Linked DNA regions of Oryctolagus cuniculus. The protein of the gene in region 1 interacts with the protein of each later gene in a biochemical or structural test. Links are inferred from orthologs where the notes say so. Each region holds a gene or a part of one and is shown on either strand. Other genes may lie near its edges.

The links.
Region 2: the proteins of PRMT5 (region 1) and COPRS form a complex in vitro, tested with the Homo sapiens proteins (3 studies listed by BioGRID, with this or other methods). The link is inferred for Oryctolagus cuniculus from reciprocal best matches to the Homo sapiens genes PRMT5 and COPRS.
Region 3: the proteins of PRMT5 (region 1) and SNRPD1 form a complex in vitro, tested with the Homo sapiens proteins (2 studies listed by BioGRID, with this or other methods). The link is inferred for Oryctolagus cuniculus from reciprocal best matches to the Homo sapiens genes PRMT5 and SNRPD1.
Region 4: the proteins of PRMT5 (region 1) and RIOK1 are reported together in a solved structure, tested with the Homo sapiens proteins (2 studies listed by BioGRID, with this or other methods). The link is inferred for Oryctolagus cuniculus from reciprocal best matches to the Homo sapiens genes PRMT5 and RIOK1.

The regions. Positions count from the first base shown.
Region 1 is NC_091443.1:52,089,201-52,092,797, forward strand, and holds the end of PRMT5 (protein arginine N-methyltransferase 5), read left to right. Parts: intron 1-245; coding exon 246-355; intron 356-563; coding exon 564-657; intron 658-795; coding exon 796-912; intron 913-1,104; coding exon 1,105-1,169; intron 1,170-2,303; coding exon 2,304-2,456; 3' UTR 2,457-2,860; downstream 2,861-3,597. UniProt on the Homo sapiens protein: Arginine methyltransferase that can both catalyze the formation of omega-N monomethylarginine (MMA) and symmetrical dimethylarginine (sDMA), with a preference for the formation of MMA.
Region 2 is NC_091448.1:42,255,545-42,260,100, reverse strand, and holds the start of COPRS (coordinator of PRMT5 and differentiation stimulator), read right to left. Parts: upstream 3,032-4,556; 5' UTR 2,940-3,031; coding exon 2,841-2,939; intron 2,751-2,840; exon of another isoform or gene 2,566-2,750; coding exon of another isoform or gene 2,503-2,565; intron 977-2,502; coding exon 910-976; intron 1-909. UniProt on the Homo sapiens protein: Histone-binding protein required for histone H4 methyltransferase activity of PRMT5.
Region 3 is NC_091441.1:56,034,661-56,038,726, reverse strand, and holds the start of SNRPD1 (small nuclear ribonucleoprotein Sm D1), read left to right. Parts: upstream 1-1,266; 5' UTR 1,267-1,459; coding exon 1,460-1,473; intron 1,474-1,559; exon of another isoform or gene 1,560-1,733; intron 1,734-4,066. UniProt on the Homo sapiens protein: Plays a role in pre-mRNA splicing as a core component of the spliceosomal U1, U2, U4 and U5 small nuclear ribonucleoproteins (snRNPs), the building blocks of the spliceosome.
Region 4 is NC_091436.1:163,183,715-163,188,228, reverse strand, and holds the start of RIOK1 (serine/threonine-protein kinase RIO1), read left to right. Parts: upstream 1-1,524; 5' UTR 1,525-1,590; coding exon 1,591-1,658; intron 1,659-4,514. UniProt on the Homo sapiens protein: Involved in the final steps of cytoplasmic maturation of the 40S ribosomal subunit. Involved in processing of 18S-E pre-rRNA to the mature 18S rRNA. Required for the recycling of NOB1 and PNO1 from the late 40S precursor.

The DNA.
Region 1 (3,597 bases):
CTATTGAGCCGCGGCGCCGGCCCTCCTTTGGTTTTAAGCTTGTGTTATTCTGTACATTAATCTAGAGGTAGATTTCCCCCATGTTAGGAGTTAGGGACAGGCCAGCCTGGATGTGACAGCACTTAGTGACTTCTGCCATTCTCATGCCAGCCTTGGTCTATGTGGACGTGGGAGGTCTGAGGCTTTGGTTAGTGCAGGCACAGCTCATTTCCCTCCCTTGGGAATCTGACCCTCCTGCTCTGCAGATGATGGCGTGAGCATCCCTGGGGAGTACACCTCCTTCCTGGCTCCCATCTCCTCCTCCAAGCTGTACAATGAGGTTCGAGCCTGTCGGGAAAAGGACCGTGACCCTGAGGTAAAGAGCCACCGTCCTGGGGAAGGACAAAGTAGTATTCCGCTCCTGGAGAAGATGAGGAGATGGAGAAATGGGGATGGGGGGAAGTGGATCAAGGGAAACTGTGTTTCTCTCTGTACCCCTGGGCTTTTGAGTGTTTCCCTGAGGAGGTAGGCTCTCTTGCCTGTCTCCTCCAGCTCTCCCTCTTGCTCTTTCTTACGCGGGACAGGCCCAGTTTGAGATGCCTTATGTGGTGCGGCTGCACAACTTCCACCAGCTCTCTGCGCCTCAGCCCTGTTTCACCTTCAGCCATCCCAACAGAGGTGGGTTCCTGCGTGGCCTCTGTCCTCACCCCCCTGCTTTCTCCCCTTGCTGTCCCGTCCACCTTACATGGTCCAAGCTTCACCAAGTGGCCTAGGGCTTCCGGTCCCTCATCATCCATAGAGTTCTTTTCCTTGCAGATCCTCTGATTGACAACAACCGCTACTGCACCTTGGAGTTCCCCGTGGAGGTGAACACGGTGCTGCATGGCTTCGCGGGCTACTTCGAGACTGTGCTTTATCGGGACATCACTCTGAGTGAGTGTCTTGGGCTGTGGATGGCAGGATATGCGGGTGTGGTGCGGGCTTGTGTTTGTGTCTCCTTTGGATTCCTGGGGAGCCCAGGAGTCCATGAATGGAGATCTTTGGTTGCTTATGATCACAGAACAGCCTCTCCTAGATAAAAGGCTCAGTCTTGGAGAACGGGGTGTTTTTCATTTGTCCACACAGGTATCCGTCCAGAGACTCACTCTCCTGGGATGTTCTCTTGGTTTCCCATCCTCTTCCCCATTAAGGTAGGAATCACCTTTAAGACTGACAGTTAAGGAGTAGCTTGTGCCATTGGTGTTGTGCCCCCTTCCCTCTCCTAAGCTGATACCTGTGACCCAGTGTTCTGCTCTTACAAGCTCTTCTATTCCACTTGTAGGTGCTGGAATTATCTGCAAGAGCCTTCTACCTACATCTCTCCTGGCTACTCTTCTGTCCAATCTCTCTTTTTCCCTCTCCCTCTCCCTCTCTCTTTACCTCTCTCTACCTCTCCTTCCCTCCCTCTCTCTCTCTTTTTTTCTTAAAAAAAAAAAAAAAAACAAAAAAAACTATGACTTTATCCTTTATCTCTCCCCTGTCTAAAACACTTCAATGCCTTCTCATAACCCTTAGGATAAAGATCAAAATCCGGAACATTGCTTACAAGCCTTGGAGTGTCTCGCCTTACTTGCCTTTTCAGAGACTGTCCTGTTGCTTACATGGCTTCAGCCCTGCAGACCTTCTGGTTCCTCTAAGTGCCCATCCTCTTTCTTCCCTCAGGTTTTCTCACCTCTCTCCTAGCCTGGCAGGTTCTTTGCTCATGTTTTCCTCCAGTCAACCTCTCCTGGAGGTCTCCTTGTGCATTTTTATTATCAGATAAACTTTCCCTGACCACCTTTCACAGGTGTTTTAAATTGTAGTCTTTAAGATTTATTTATGTATTTTTAAAGGCAGAGTCATAAAGAAGGAGGGAGGGATGGAGAGATCTTCCATCTACTGGTTCACTACCCAAGTGGCCAGGTCAAAGCCATGAACCTGGAACTCTCTCCAGGTCTCCCACATGGGTGGCACTTGGGCCATCTTCTGCTTTCCCAGGGGCATTAGCAGGGAGTTGTATTGTAAGCGGTACAGCCTGGTCTTGAACTGACGCTCTGCAGGATGGCAGCTCAGTCTGCTGTGCCACAGCGCCAGCTCCTCATAGGTGTTTTCATAAGCCCCTGATTTACCATAGTTTTGATGATTTGCTCAGTGTCTGCTGAGTGTTCTGATAGACTTTAAGTAAGCTTCATGAGGGTTGGAAACAGTCTGTTGGGTTTATCATTTTAGCTCCACACCTACCTTAATATGCTGTCACAAATAATTTATTAGCTCCACATCAAACCTCCCTATCTTGCTTCTTGCAGCAACCCATTACAGTGCGTGAAGGCCAGACTATTTGTGTGCGTTTCTGGCGATGCAGCAACTCCAAGAAGGTGTGGTACGAATGGGCTGTGACAGCACCAGTTTGTTCTGCTATTCACAACCCTACCGGCCGCTCATACACCATTGGCCTCTGATGCTCCGTGCAAGTGTCCAGAGCCTTGAAAGCGGCTTCAGGTTCTGCTCTTGTAGCACAGAAGGTGCTGTACATCTCTGGGCTGTGATTCCGCTTGCCCGAGAGAGAGGAGCATTTCAGTCTGATTTCCTGCCTTCCATCGAGGTGGGCAAAGGATAAGAATTAATTGCAAGGCTAAAGCCAGCAATCTGTGAAGACCTCAGATCAGGACATGAGGAATTGGTAGTCTGGGACCTGAAGCTACACCGACAGGCACTCAGCCTCAAGAACTTCCTGGAATAGCCCTGAGAACGTGTGGATTGAAACATTTTCAGTCCTTCCTCTGCTCCTCTCTGTTCTTGTTTTGATGGTTTTGTGTAAGAGGAAATACAAATAAAGTGAAGTTATGGCCCTTTCTTGCTCTGATCTGCTGTTCACTGCTTCTATTTGCCCACACCTTTTAGACCCAGGCATTTTCAGGCCTGTGCCCTTACCCTTTCAAGACCCATAGGGGCCGAGCTTTATTTCCTACTTGGGTGAGCAGTGACTCCTGGACATGGGCCTTTCTAACCAGCTAGAGCGAGCCCTTGTCCAGTAGGGTCTGTGTCAGGCTTTTCTCTGGGGAAAAGGCATAGAGTTCGTTGCCTTGGACAGAGAAAGGGCGTGAAGCCAGCTTCCCTTCCACCTAACTGAGTTGCCACACTGCCAGCTCTTGGGGAAAAACTGGAAGCCATCCAGGCAAGCCAAGTATTGGGTTTGAATAAAATCAGCAGGTTAGGGTTTGAAATCAGATCATCTAGTTCAATTTTCGGCCTTACAGCCTGGGGAGATGAAGTCTTCAACGGCATAATGTGCCTACGCGCCCAAATCAAAACGGGAACTCAGGTTCTCTAACTGGCGCTTAGCACCTGTGTCAGGCAGCTGAAGCCTGCAGGGGTACTGGAAGCCCTAGGGAAGTGAGGGGAGAGAATGCTCCCTTCTCCTGGTTAGAAGTCTGGGAGTACTGCTGCACCCATCACCTGAGAAGTTTCCCGCTGCAGTGCTAAGTCTGGGGCATGGATTTGAACTGAAGGTGTGTGACTTACGGGACCAGGCAGTGCGGCTGAGGCAATGTGCAAGAAGGCAAGCCCTGGGCTTCCCAGATAATCAGTCGCTGAGATTGG
Region 2 (4,556 bases), on another chromosome or scaffold:
AGGAAGATGACCCTAGTGCTTGAGCCCCTGCCACCCCTGGGGGAGACCCCAGTGGAGTTACAGGCTCCTGGCTTCAGCCTGGGCCAGCCCCAGACAATGAGGCCATTTGGGGAGTAAACCAGAGGAAGATATCTCCCTCTTTCCCCACCCCCTCATTCTACTTTTCAAGTACATAAAATTTTAAAAAAACTTTTTTTTTGTATTAACTACGCTGTATCTGTTTCCTCATTTGTAAAATGGAGACAGGTTTGTTGTGAGATGTGGGGGGGGGGAAAGGAAACAATAGAAACAGACTACACCTGTCGACAGGAGCGCTCAAAGGTTTCCATTACTGGGACTGTTACACCTGCGACTGCGTGATCTAGACCAACACTTCCCATTCGAACTTCCTGCCGAGACGGAAATGTTCTAGCATCACTGCTGTCCAACAAGGCAGCACTACCCACACGTGGCTACTGAGCACGTGGAATGTGGCCTGAGAAGCTGAGTTTCCTGTGGTACTGCCTTAGAACTAACTTCAACTGCACCTGTGGCTAGCGGCTGCTGTAACAGACCCACACGATTCCTCGCTCTGTCCCCCAATCCTGAGAACAACCCTAGGGAGTAGGTCTTATTCGTCTCACTGTCAAGTCCATGATACTCCATTCCAGGGCTCTCAGAGTTGAAAATACAATTCTGCCTGCCTCCCAAGCCCCCACGTGTCACGGCTGCGAGCTGGCTCTCAGTTGAAGAGATGAGTTGGGATGTAAGCCAAGTCCAGGATTTCCCTTACGGTAGCCTGGGCAGGGCTTTCAACGGAAAGCATTGCTGAAACGCGACAGGGGAGGCACCTCGGCAGCAGAGGGCTGGTTAGAAGGAACAGGGAAACAAGACGTAGAGACCATCACGGCCGCTCCGACATCTACTTGCCTAGTCGATCCGTGGCCGTCTCAGCCTCTGTCTCTGGACCACTGGGGTCTGCTGTGGCGAAGGTGGCCTGCAGGAAGAACAACCGATTACCAGGAACTCAGGTGCCCCGGATCCTGGTACTAAGCCATTGCCTCTCAGGTCGAGTCCCAGTCCCACACTCTTGATGGGGATCCACATTTCTGTCTCCCCCTGTTAGATCCAGCTGGCCTTTCTAATTCTCCAGGCACCATCCCAACAACACGGCTGCACCCCTGGCTACAGCTGTGTGGACACCTGAGGTGGCCGTGTCATCACTGGGCCCTCTTGTCAGAGGTCTGGAGCCCAGGGTCCCTACTCTCCCAGCTCAGAGACCTCAGCACCAGCTGCAGCAGGTTGGATTTCAGCTCTGCAGAGCTGTCCTGGCTGTTTCCTGCCCACTGCTTCCTCCAGACATCTTTTTGACCTTTCTGGTTACTTAGTATTTAGTTCACAACTCTTTGCCTCTTCTCACTGGCACAGGATGGGAGTGGAACTCTCTGTCCTGAGTGGTGCTGGCTGAAATAAACAGCTCTAAACCAGCTGGAAATCACCCTCCCCTGCAGCCGGCCGGAAGCTTCTCTGCCTCCAGCACCCACAAGTCTCCCAAACGCTCTAATTGCCCCAGAAGCGCTCGCAGGAAGCCCCACCTTCAGCCCCAGCTCTGCCACTCAGGGTACTGTCTGGGCCACCTGGCTTCAGCCCCTGGGCTTTCTTCCCTGGAAACAGGGGAGAGTGGTTCCTACTACCTAACGTCTAAGAGCTCTCCCAGCGCACGGGCAGGAATGCGAGGCGTCTAGAATTTAGACTCACCTCCTCTGATCCTACATCTAAACTGCACCTGTTTCAATCCAATCATCACTCCTCGCCTAGCCATGCCTCCCTTAAGTGATTCCACTTCCAGTGGTCAGCAGCAATTGCTCAGGGCTGCCCACCAGCGGGATGAGGCTAAGCTAAGGAGGCCTTGACCTCCGAATTCCCCCACCCACAGGGTTAATCACCACTCTGGTCAACAGCTTCAACAGCCCTCCACCAGCAAACACAAAGGCACCCGCCCCCCACGACCTGTTCAGCATGCTTCTCCACGCCGCCGCCCCAGCTCTGAGCCACTTGCCCTGCGCTTCTTCCTGGCCAGCCTCCGCAGGCACCACCGGACTCCCACCTGCGAGAGCCAGCGCGCAGCCCTCCCTGCTCTCCCCGACTACAAGCGTTGCCGCCGCGTGCACGTCTCTGGTTAAGGCCCATCTCTGCTGTGTCCACCCAATTACTACGCCTGTCCCGCGTGCTAGGCGCTGGGCTCCCAGCCCTAAACGGAGGAGCTGTCGTCTAGGCAGACACTGTAGACAAGGACAGGCGAGCACTGCGACAGCGGTCTCGGAAACACGGGGGCTGCCTGGAGCGCACCTGAAAGCAAGTTTCTGCAAACCCTGCGTCAAACCTGGCCTTCGGGTCTCCGTAAACGGAGAGTGCATGGGACACCCACCCACCCCTCAGCGCTCGGGGGATAGTGAGCGTCCCCCCACCCTCAGTCAGTGAACAGGGCTCCTCCAGGCGAAGCCCTCCCCTTGCAGCCCTCACCTGGCCGGGGCCCAGGCCCCTAGTAGCGGGCCCCAGCTCTCCGTCCCCAACATCACCTCCCATTTAGTAAGTACGCAGAGGCGCCCTGTGGGCCAATAGCCTCAGTGGGACCGGCGCGCCCACCCACGCCCCTCGGAGCTCCCGGCCCGGCAGCCTCGAAGCCCCGCTGCTCCTCGGCCAGCCGTTTCCAGCTCCAGCGCGAGCCCAAACGGCGCTCAGGGCTTGTGGAGCGGCCCGTGGCGCTGTCCGCGCCCCGCACCGGGCACCGCCCCGCGAGCCCCCAACTTCCCGCACTGGCTGCAGGTGGTGGCGGCGCTCGGCCCGCGCGCGGCGCTCACCTCCAGGCTGCGGGGCGCCTCCCGCGTGCTCGGTAGCGGCGGGCCCCGAGGCGGTTCCGTGACGCCCCGTGCCCGGGCCCCGGCGGCCTGCGGGTCCATGCCGAGCTGCCCACGGCTGGGCGCCCTGGACGCGGCTCGGCCACGTGATGCGCCAGCCTGGCTGCCAGCCTGAGGATACGCCGCGCAGGGGCCAATCAGCCGGGGTGCTCCCGGCCGCGGGGGCGGGACACCGGGTCACGAGGACGCCGGGGGCGGGGCGCGTCGCCACCGCAGAGCCCCCTGCCTACCCGGTGAGAAACGGAGCCAGTCTGGAGTACTGGTTCTGGTGGCTCCCACGCGCAAACGCCCGGCCTGGAACGCGGGCTGGGCCGGCAGGGCCGAATCCCAGCTCCACTCTGCCACACCCGATGTGTTCAGCTGCAAAACCTCCATTCCCCATTAGAACACGAATACCGGAGCGGCCCTGACACCGTCTGAAGCCGAGCTGTCAAAACTCAGAATGCAGTTTGAGGCTCCAGCCACGTTTCACCCTCTTTCTGGGTCCACTGGAATTAGACCCTAACAACCTCAACGAACGAGACAACCTAGCAGCCAGCGACGCCCCACCTCGAGTTACAACAGTCTATTGGGAACCAGGGCAGCTGTTCAAACAGCTGCAATGTGTGGACACGGTTAAATATTCTGCACTAGTGGTGGAATCCGACCAGGGCTCCGACCTTCCCACGCTGAGATTTGGGTCTGCCACCAGTTATTCCCCATTTTGCCTCTAAGGACTAAGAGGGGTGCCTCCCATGCAGCAAGGGCCTTCATTGCCTTCCCTGCTGGCCACCGACCACGCGTGATAATCACGTTAACTTTTTCTTTTTTTCTTTTTTTTTTTGACAGATAGATAGAAAGGTCTTCTTTCCCTTGGTTCACTCCCAAAATGGCCGCTACGGCCGGAGCTGCTCCGATCTGAAGTCAGGAGCTAGGTGTTTCTTCCTGGTCTCCCACGTGGGTGCAGGGTCCAAGCACTTGGGCTATCCTCCACTGCCTTCCCGGGCCAAAGCAGAGAGCTGGACTGGAAGAGGAGCCACCAGGACTAGAACCCGGCGGCCACATGTGATGCCGGCGCTGCAAACGGAGGATTAAACCAGGGAGCCCTGGCCACTCACATGTTAACCTTTAAGGAGCAAAAAGCCAGAAGCTGGGACTCCTTGCTCACCAGGAAACCTTATGACCTCTTGGGACATTAGAGCGCCTCCCTAGAGGAATTTTGTTGTCTGTAAACCACTTTGTGGGGCCTGCGTTGTAGCACAGTGGGTTAACACCCTGGCCTGAAGCTCAGGCATCCCAGATGGGTGCCAGTTCGAGACCCGGCTGCTCCACTTCCTGTCCAGCTCTCTGCTATGGCCTGTGAAACAGAAGATGGCCCAAGTCCTTGGGCCCCTGCACCCACGTGGGAGACTAGGAAGAAGCTCCTGGCTCTTGATCAGCACAGCTCTGGCCGTTGGCGGCCATTTGGGGAGTGAACCAGCAGATGGAAGACCTCTCTCTCTCTCTCTCTGCCTCTCCTCTCTGTTTAACTCTTTCAAATAAATAAATCTTAAAAGCACACACACACTTTGCGGCATTTGGGGGAAGAAAGCCAACAGTGACATAATATTCAATGTTTGGGTGTCCCCGTCCCCCCTCCCCAACCCCACACAGGAAAGGAAATGTGAGGAAATGTGACTA
Region 3 (4,066 bases), on another chromosome or scaffold:
GGGAAGAACATTCTATGCAAAGGTCTGGTCGGATCAGTCCTAATGTGGACAAGTAAAGGAACCTGATCATTGACATAAAGGGTAGAGTCAGCTTCCTGAGGACCACGTGCGTCTCCAGAAGAATACTGAGAACTCTCGAGAAGAAAGGGGAGTAGAAGAGGTTGTGAGGACTGCTCACAAATATGCCTCATAGCTTTGCTACTCAAGTTGTGATCCATGGACTAGGGAAATCTTCAACTGAAGGCTTCTGGAAATGCAGAATTTCAGGCCCTACAACAACTGAACCAGAATTTTCATCTTCAAATTTCCTCAATGGGGCTGGTGGTGCGACATAGCGGGTAAAGCCGCCTCTACAACACCAGCATCCCACATGGGTGCCAGTTCAAGTCCCGGCTTGCTCCACTTCTGATCCAGCTCCCTGCTAAGGCACCTGGGAAAGCAGCGGAAGAGGGCCTAAGTGCTTGGGCCTCTGCACCCTTGTAGGAGACCTGGAGGAAGCTCTGGGCTCCTGGCTTCAGCCTGGCTCTGCCTTGGCTGCTGCAGCCACTTGGGGAAAAACGTATGGTTGGAAGATCTCTGACTCTCCCTCTTTCTCTGTTAACTCTGATTTTCAAAATAAATAAATCTTTATTTAAAAAATTCCTTGGGTCTGTCCTGTGCACATTAAAGTTTGATGAGCATTGCCTTACAACATCCTAGAGTTCTGGTGATCATGGATGAAGTTCAATCTAGATTTACAAATTAAAACCATAGTTTTGGAGGAGATCGCCCAGGCTAAAGGAGAAAGTTTTCCTAAAAAGGACTACAGCTGTAAGCCCTGAAGCATCCTGACACGTGTAAAGACTCAGAGGCCTAGACAGAACAGCTAGTGGGTTAGGGAGAAACCCAGAGTGCTTGGCCCGGGAAACAAAGGTAGAAGGTATTTCAAAACTGAAGTGTGTTGAATGTTACTGAGACGTTGAGTACGAGGAAAACAGACAACTGTGTCTCGGAAACATAATTCTGCAATTTTCTTCAGATTCATCAGTAATGCTAAATAAGGTTCTTGGTGTTGGACCAGAATTCGCAATAACCTGTGTTTCTCTCAAAACCGCTCTTTGTTCACGGAGGAAGTTGTATTTGGTGCTTCGCCAACGCGCCCCGCCGTGCCGAAGCGTGATGGCGACTGCTAATTGGATTTAACTGTTCAAATCGCCCTCTCCTTAGACAGACAGTCACGCCCTCAGCCTCTGCAATGCATACCTCCGGCAGCGAGGGGTCGCAGTCGCGCTCCCCTTGGCCGGAAGGCAAAGTGGCCCAGCAAGGCCTCGGCGTTTCCGCCGCACGTCCACAGTGCTCCGCGCGCTCGCTACGTCCGGAGCCCGTGGAGTAGGCGTTTCCGGCCATTCATACGCCTAGCCGGTCCTCGGTAGTTGCATTCTCTGCGTTATCGAGCAGAAAGGACGATTGCGCCGCTACGATGAAGCTCGTGAGGTGAGGAGGTGGCCGAGCGAGGCGGGGGCTGAGCCGTAAGGGTTCGGGCCGGGCTCGGGAAGCTGAGCGGTCCCGAGGCCGGAGGCGGGAAAGCCGCGTGCGCGCGGCCTGCTAACGGCCTGCGGCGCCCGCCGCGCGCGCCCCATCTTGGCCGCGGCTCCGGGTCGTGATCGATCGTTCTTCAGCCTCGCCTGTCTTCCAAGAGGCGGGCTTGAAGACCGAGCTGCGTCTTGTCACCTGCTGCCTTGGGGGCCTTGAAGGTGGCTTGGTCTCGCGTTAGTTACCCATTCTCATTGTGCGCATGGAGCTCCCGTGGGTCTGAAGACGGAGTTTATCATGGAAATAAGGAAGCCTACTTGCAGCATGTTTTAGATCAGAGAGGAACTAGTTTGCAAGTTGTGATTTTAAAGTTTTTGGTCTCTCTCGATGCTCCCTAGACTTTTGATCAGAAAAATCTCCCACTATGAGGCAAAAGCCAATACTTTTTGATTGTGGCTGGTTACACATAGCTGGTAATTCCTCCGGTTTCCTTTCTGCGATTGTGTTGCTTAGTTGAGCCTACTAAAGGATTGTTTATTGATGTTTGTAATTAGTTCCAAACTGCTTGCAGATAGGTTAGATTTTGGTGCTTTACATGGAGGCTGAGCCTGCAGCCCAGCGGTGGTTTCTGGTACTAAGCTAGCGGTTGGAAGTATTTGACGAGTTTCTTTCCTCCCAAGTCGAGACTGGCAGTGCTGACCAGTTATGGGGCACCTGTTACAGTTACTGTGTGCCGATAATAGAATTTTCTTAAAGGCAAGAATCCCTGCCTTGGAACTTTTTGTTTAGTGCTGAAGACAGATAAGTGGTTAACATCTAGTATGTTTGAAATACAGTTATACTTTATGGGTGGAGTTTGTAGAGAAGACATTTAATGTGAATGTTCATTCTTATTTGAATTATAACTTTGTATAACAGTCTCAGAACTCAGTGTATTTTTATATTTCTCCATACCTGCTCGTTTGAATCTTAATGAATTTTTTTTTTTTTTTTTTTTTTTTTTTTTTGTCACTGAAGATTCAGTTTGTCTCATTTGAAAATAGCACATGTTCTAGCAGAATTTCCCTGTAATTTTTAACGAGTGTGCTGAATCCCGTTCTGTGTCTTAGGTACTAGGTAGATACAAACCCTCTTGTGTCTTGCCTCAAGAAAATGGTTTGACTAATTAGTTTGTGTATGCTCATTGTATTTATTTCTGCATCTCAGTTGGTGGCATTATCATCCTTATCCTGTCACCCTAGCCAAAACCAGGGAGACAAACTTCACTTTCTTAAGTGAAGTTCAGTGTGTATTTCCTGAGAGTGGAAAAATTATACACTAGTGTAACCCAAACCCCTGCCATGGTAAAATACCAAAACCTCAAGAAGTTCCCTTAAGCTATCTCAAGTCAACTTTTAGCTCCACATCCACCAAAGCAATGTGTTTCTTCCACTGTAGTTTTGCCTGCAGTAGAATTTATTCTTTGGAATAAAAAAAGACTATATGTCTTTTTTATGTTTGCTTAAGATTTCTTAGCATGCTCCTGAGATTCATCAACATTTAGTTTTGCTTTTTGTTACTTTAAAGATTTGTTTATTTAAAACAAGGCAGAGCAACACAGAGAAGTGCCTCCCAACTGCTGATTCGCTTTCTAAGTGCCACAACAGCCCAGGCTGGGCCAACTGAAACCAGGAGCCAGGGATTCTGTCTGGGTCTCACACGTGGGTGACAGGGGCCCCAAACACTCTGGCCATCTTGGGTTGTTTTCCTAGGTGCATTAGCAGAGAGCTGGATCAGAAGTAGAGCAGCTGGTACAACAACCTGCACTCTGTTACGGAATATAGGAAGCTGTCCCAAGTAAAGGGTTAACCTGCTGAGTGCCGCCCACCCCCAGTATTTAAAAAAAAAAATTTAATTGTAGGATAGTAGTCCAATTGTATGTTTTAAAATGATATGTTTTGTTTAAAGCTGTTTTGAACATCCTTATGCAAATCTCTGTATACATAGCTTTGATTTTTCTTGGGTAAATACTTAGGAGTAGACATGCAGAATCCTACATAGGGTATACTTAGGAGCAGACATGCAGAATTCTACATAGGGTAAGGATATGTTTAACTTCATAAGAAATGCCCTACCATTTTTCAAAGTGCTTGTACCATTTTAAACTTCTAATAGCAATATGTTAGACTTCCAATTGCTCCACTTCCTCACCAGCATTTGTTGTTGTCAATCTGCTTAATTTTATGGATTTTAGTGGGTATATGGTAGTGTTTCCTTAAGTTTTAGTTTGTATTTTTCTAATGACTAATGCTTATTAGCTATTTGCACATCTGTTGTGATGTTATGTTTGAATCTGTTGTTTATTTTGATGGTTTCTTTTTATTACTGGGTTGTTACAATTCTGTATATCCTGGATACCAGTCCTTTGTCATATACGTATGTATATATATTTTTAAGATTTATTTTTTATTTATTTGAAAGAGAGCGAGATCTTCATTCGCTGGTTCACTTCCCAACTGACCACAACAGCTAGGGCTGGGTCAGGCTGAAGCCAGGAGCCCAGAGCGTCTGCTGG
Region 4 (4,514 bases), on another chromosome or scaffold:
TCGACGATTAGTCATTTTGAATCCATGCCATTATTCCACAAAGTGTGAGTCAGTACGCCAGGGGCCTGCGCTGTGCCGTGGCAGGTACGGCTGCCATTTGCAGAGCTAGCATCCCACGTGGGGGCTGGTTCGAGTCCCGGCTGCTCCACTTCCGACCCAGCATTCTGCTAAGGCGCCTGGGAAAGCAGCGATGATGGCCCAAGTGCTTGGGCCCCTGGCACCCACGTGGACCTGGATGGAGCGCCAGGCTCCTGGTTTCAGCCTGGCCAGCCCCAGCCATCACAGCCACTTGTGGGGTGAACCAGGGATGGAAGCTCCCCTCCTTTCCTTCTTAAAAAAAAAAAAAAAAAAAGCCCACTAAATTGAAGGGGCGGGTACAGCTCAGCTGGCCCCCAGGGTCCAGGTCGCAGGACTTAGGTCACCTATCCCCTCTACAGGGGTCTGGTTGAGGAATCCCCCCGGCCCTGTGCAAACCGCTACCCACCACCCGCACGGAGCCCCCAGACTGAGCCCACTTGGCCACGCTCAGAATCCCCACAAGGACTCCAAGTCGCTGGCCAGCGGAGGGGTCACCGAGGCCAGGCAGAAGCCGACCCCAACTTCCGGCGCTAAGACCCCTTGACCTGAACCCCTGGGGAAGGCCGGGAGTGGGGCCAAGGCGCCTGGCCCCCGGCTCTGCGAGCGGACCCCGGGCACCGGCCTGGCTGCGCGGGCCCGCGATCTCTTCCACGACACTCCCACCTTTCATTTACGTCCTCGCCAGATTTCTGGTAGATTTTAAAACATCAGTTATTGGAATGTTGGGACGGATACTCCAGGGCCATTTAAAGCTGTCTGAAGGCGCACGCCCTGGGAGTGAGGGACCGAAACGCCACCGTTTCCTGTTTAAAGTTTCTTCGAACTTTGCACTTATCTCACGTTCATCCCAAAACCACGCACCAAACTCTCCAAGACGCCAAAGTGTGCTCACTCCGGGGACCCAGAGACCCGCCTGGGCCCACCCTGGCGACTCCGCGGCTTCCTCCCTGCAGACCGAGGGTCGAGAGGCAGCGACAACACCCACCACCCACTCCCAACGACGGCTGCCACAAACTCGCCGGGGGCTCGCGGCTGGAACGCGCCTGTGTGACGCCACCCGCGCTCGCCGGCGAGCGAGCCTCGGCGTCCCTCGTCCTAAAGCGGCGACGTTACGAGAGTGCGAGATCCCCAGGCCGAGCGGCCTGTGCACCCGCAGCCGCGCGCCTCCGCCGGCAGACACACACACACACACTCGGGGCGGAGCGGCCGCCACTGGATGCCGCCCACCTGACGCTTCGGTTGGTCCTCCTCGCGCACCGTCCGGCCAGGCCCACTGCCCGGCGCGGGGGCGGGGCTTCCGGCCGAGCCGCACTTCCGGGAGGGGCGGGACTTCCGGGGCACGTGCCGCGGCGCGCTGTGTGACTGTGGGTCCGGCGCTCCGAGGCGCGTGGCGGGCGGTGTTGGCCGCTGGTGGGATTCTAAACCGTTTGCGAGGTGGGGGTCGCGGAAAAGCCGTTGGAAGGCCGCAGGGAAGGCCGTGTGCGTGGCGTTCCCGTCCCGGCGCCCTCGGTCATGGACTACCGGCGGGTCCTGATGGGCCGGGTGGTGCCCGGCCAGTTCGACGACGCGGACTCCGACAGGTATCGGACGCCGCGGTTCCGATCGTGCGACCCCTTCTCGGGGAGTCCGCAGGGGTTCCTGGCCCGCTCTCGCTTGGCAGCTGTGTTTTCTCTCTTGGGCAGCGCGAATGAAGGCCGCTTGCCGAGTCGGTGCGCCCACGGTGGAGAGGCGGGGTCGGGGAGCGCCGGCCACGGAGAGGAGGGGTCGGGGAGGGCCGGCCACGGAGAGGCGGGGTCGGGGGGGGCCAGCCACGGAGAGGAGGGGTCGGGGAGGGCCGGCCACGGGGAGGCCACGGGGAGGCCACGGGGAGGAGGGGTCGGGGAGGGCCGGCCACGGGGAGGAGGGGTCGGGGGGGGGCCAGCCACGGAGAGGAGGGGTCGGGGAGGGCCGGCCACGGGGAGGCGGGGTCGCAGGGTCGGGGAGCACCGGCCACGGGGAGGAGGGGTCGGGGGGGGGGCAGCCACGGAGAGGAGGGGTCGGGGAGGGCCGGCCACGGGGAGGCCACGGGGAGGAGGGGTCGCAGGGTCGGGGAGGGCCGGCCACGAAGAGGGGGGGTCGCAGGGTCGGGGAGGGCCGGCCACGGAGAGGGGGGGTCGCAGGGTCGGGGAGGGCCGGCCACGGAGAGGGGGGGTCGCAGGGTCGGGGAGGGCCGGCCACGGAGAGGAGGGGTCGGGGGGTCGGGGAGTCCCGGCCGTAGAGAGGCAGCGTCGGGGAGCGCCGGCCACGGAGAGGAGGGGTCGGGGAGCATTGGCTGTGGCGAGGCGGGGTCGGGGAGCGCTGGCCCCGGGGCGTTCTGCGCTGCCCAGGGGTTTGTTGAGCACCTGGGCATGGTAATGGGGTTTGTAGAACTTTATTTTCTATTTGGGAGAGAGGGAAGGCCGTTAAAATAAAAGATATATGCGATGGTATTTTAGAAATCTGGTGGAAAATGGGGTTAAAAGACCTTTATTTTGGTGCAAACTTTTTTAAAAAATAATTAAAGTCAGTTAATATGCAAAGTAGTGCCAGAGTGATTCCGGAAGGGTGAAGCAGGAAGAAGGCACTACCCTAACAAGAGCAGAGGGAGTGGCGTTTCTGGCCCAGGACGCGTGCAAAGGCCCCGGGGTCAGCTGGCAAAGGGACACGAAGAGGCCGGTGTGCCTGGAGCACAGTTAGGGGGATTGGAGGTGGCACTGGGGAGAAGGGTTCAGATACTGTGGAGCCCAGAGTGACCGGGAGGAGGGGCCAGATACTGTGGAGCCCAGAGTGACTGGGGGAGAAGGGTTCAGATACTGTGGAGCCCAGAGTGACCGGGAGGAGGGTTCAGATACTGTGGAGCCCAGAGTGACCCAGAGAAGGGTTCGGATACTGTGGAGCCCAGAGTGACCGGGAGGAGGGGCCAGATACTGTGGAGCCCAGAGTGACCGGGAGGAGGGGCCAGATACTGTGGAGCCCAGAGTGACCGGGAGGAGGGGCCAGATACTGTGGAGCCCAGAGTGACCGGGGGAGAAGGGTTCAGATACTGTGGAGCCCAGAGTGACCGGGGGAGAAGGGCCAGATACTGTGGAGCCCAGAGTGACCGGGCGGTGTTGAGATCACTGTTCTGAGCACTGCAGAAAGTCGTAGGAAGGATTTAGCAAGAGCTTGACGTTGGGTTCAGATTGAGAGGTGCAGGAGATGGTAGTGAAGGGGGCAAGAGTGGACAGAAGCCAAGTTCCGAGGTTCCAGGGTGAAGGATGAGAATGTTGGGGGTCCTGGAGATAGGTTTTAGGTGTCGAAAGGCAAGATCTGGTGGTGGATTAGACATGGAAAAGAGGAAAGAGGAGACCCCTATATTAGAAACAAACCGGGGGCCGGCGCTGTGCACAGCTTCCCTTACCAGTGAGGGTCCCAGCTGCTGCACTTCTCACCCAGCTCCCTGCTGCTGCGCTGCGAAAGCAGTGGAAGATGGGCCAGTGCCTGGGTCCCTGCACCCATGTGGGAGACCCAGATGGGGTTCCTGACGCCTGGCTGTGGCCTGGTCCTGCCCTGGCTGTTGTGGCCATTTGGAGAGTGAACCAGCGGATGAAAGATCTGTGTCTCCCTCTTTTTCAGTCACTCTGTGTTCAAATAAATAATTCTTTAAAAACAAAATGAAATGTATTAAGAGTTACTTTGGAATTCCAGGAAAACCATTTATACTTTAAGGTAAAGATTTATTAATCAATTAGGAATTTTTACAGTAAATATATATATATATATTTAAAGATTTATTTATTTGAAAGGTAGAATTACAGAGAGAGATCTTCCATCCACTGGTTCACTTCCCAGATGGCTGCAAAGGCCAGGGTGGGCCAGGATCTTTTTCTGGGTCTCCCATGTGGCTGCAGGGGCCCAAGCACTTGGGCCAACTTCTACTGCTTCCCCAGGTGCATCCGCAGGGAGCTGGATCAGAAAGGAGCTCCCATAAGATATGCTGGTGTTGCAGCCGGCCCCTTAACCGGCTACTCCACAGCGCTGGCCCCAGTAAATGTGTGTTGACCTCTTTCTACATGTGAGATCTAGTGTTAGGTGGTGTGGATACGTTGGTAAACGTTATCCTAACACAGAGCTTGCACTCTGGCAGAGAAAACTGATATTAGATAATCAGGTCACCGGTCCAAAGGAGATGTGGGTGAAGAATGGGCAGATATCCCTGAGCAAGTGATAGTGGGCTGGGTAGGGTTAGCCAGAGAGAGGAGATTGGGCATTCCAGTTTTGTGGTTACAGATCAGCGGACAGAGGTCTCAGAGAAGTGAAGTGGGAAGAGAGAATCACCCCGCTGGGCTGGTGAAGAACAGAGAGTGGTGACAGTACGCTCATTCATTAGCCTCACAGGATGTCGGGAGCAGAGGCCCGCTGTGCTGCCCTGCGGGTGG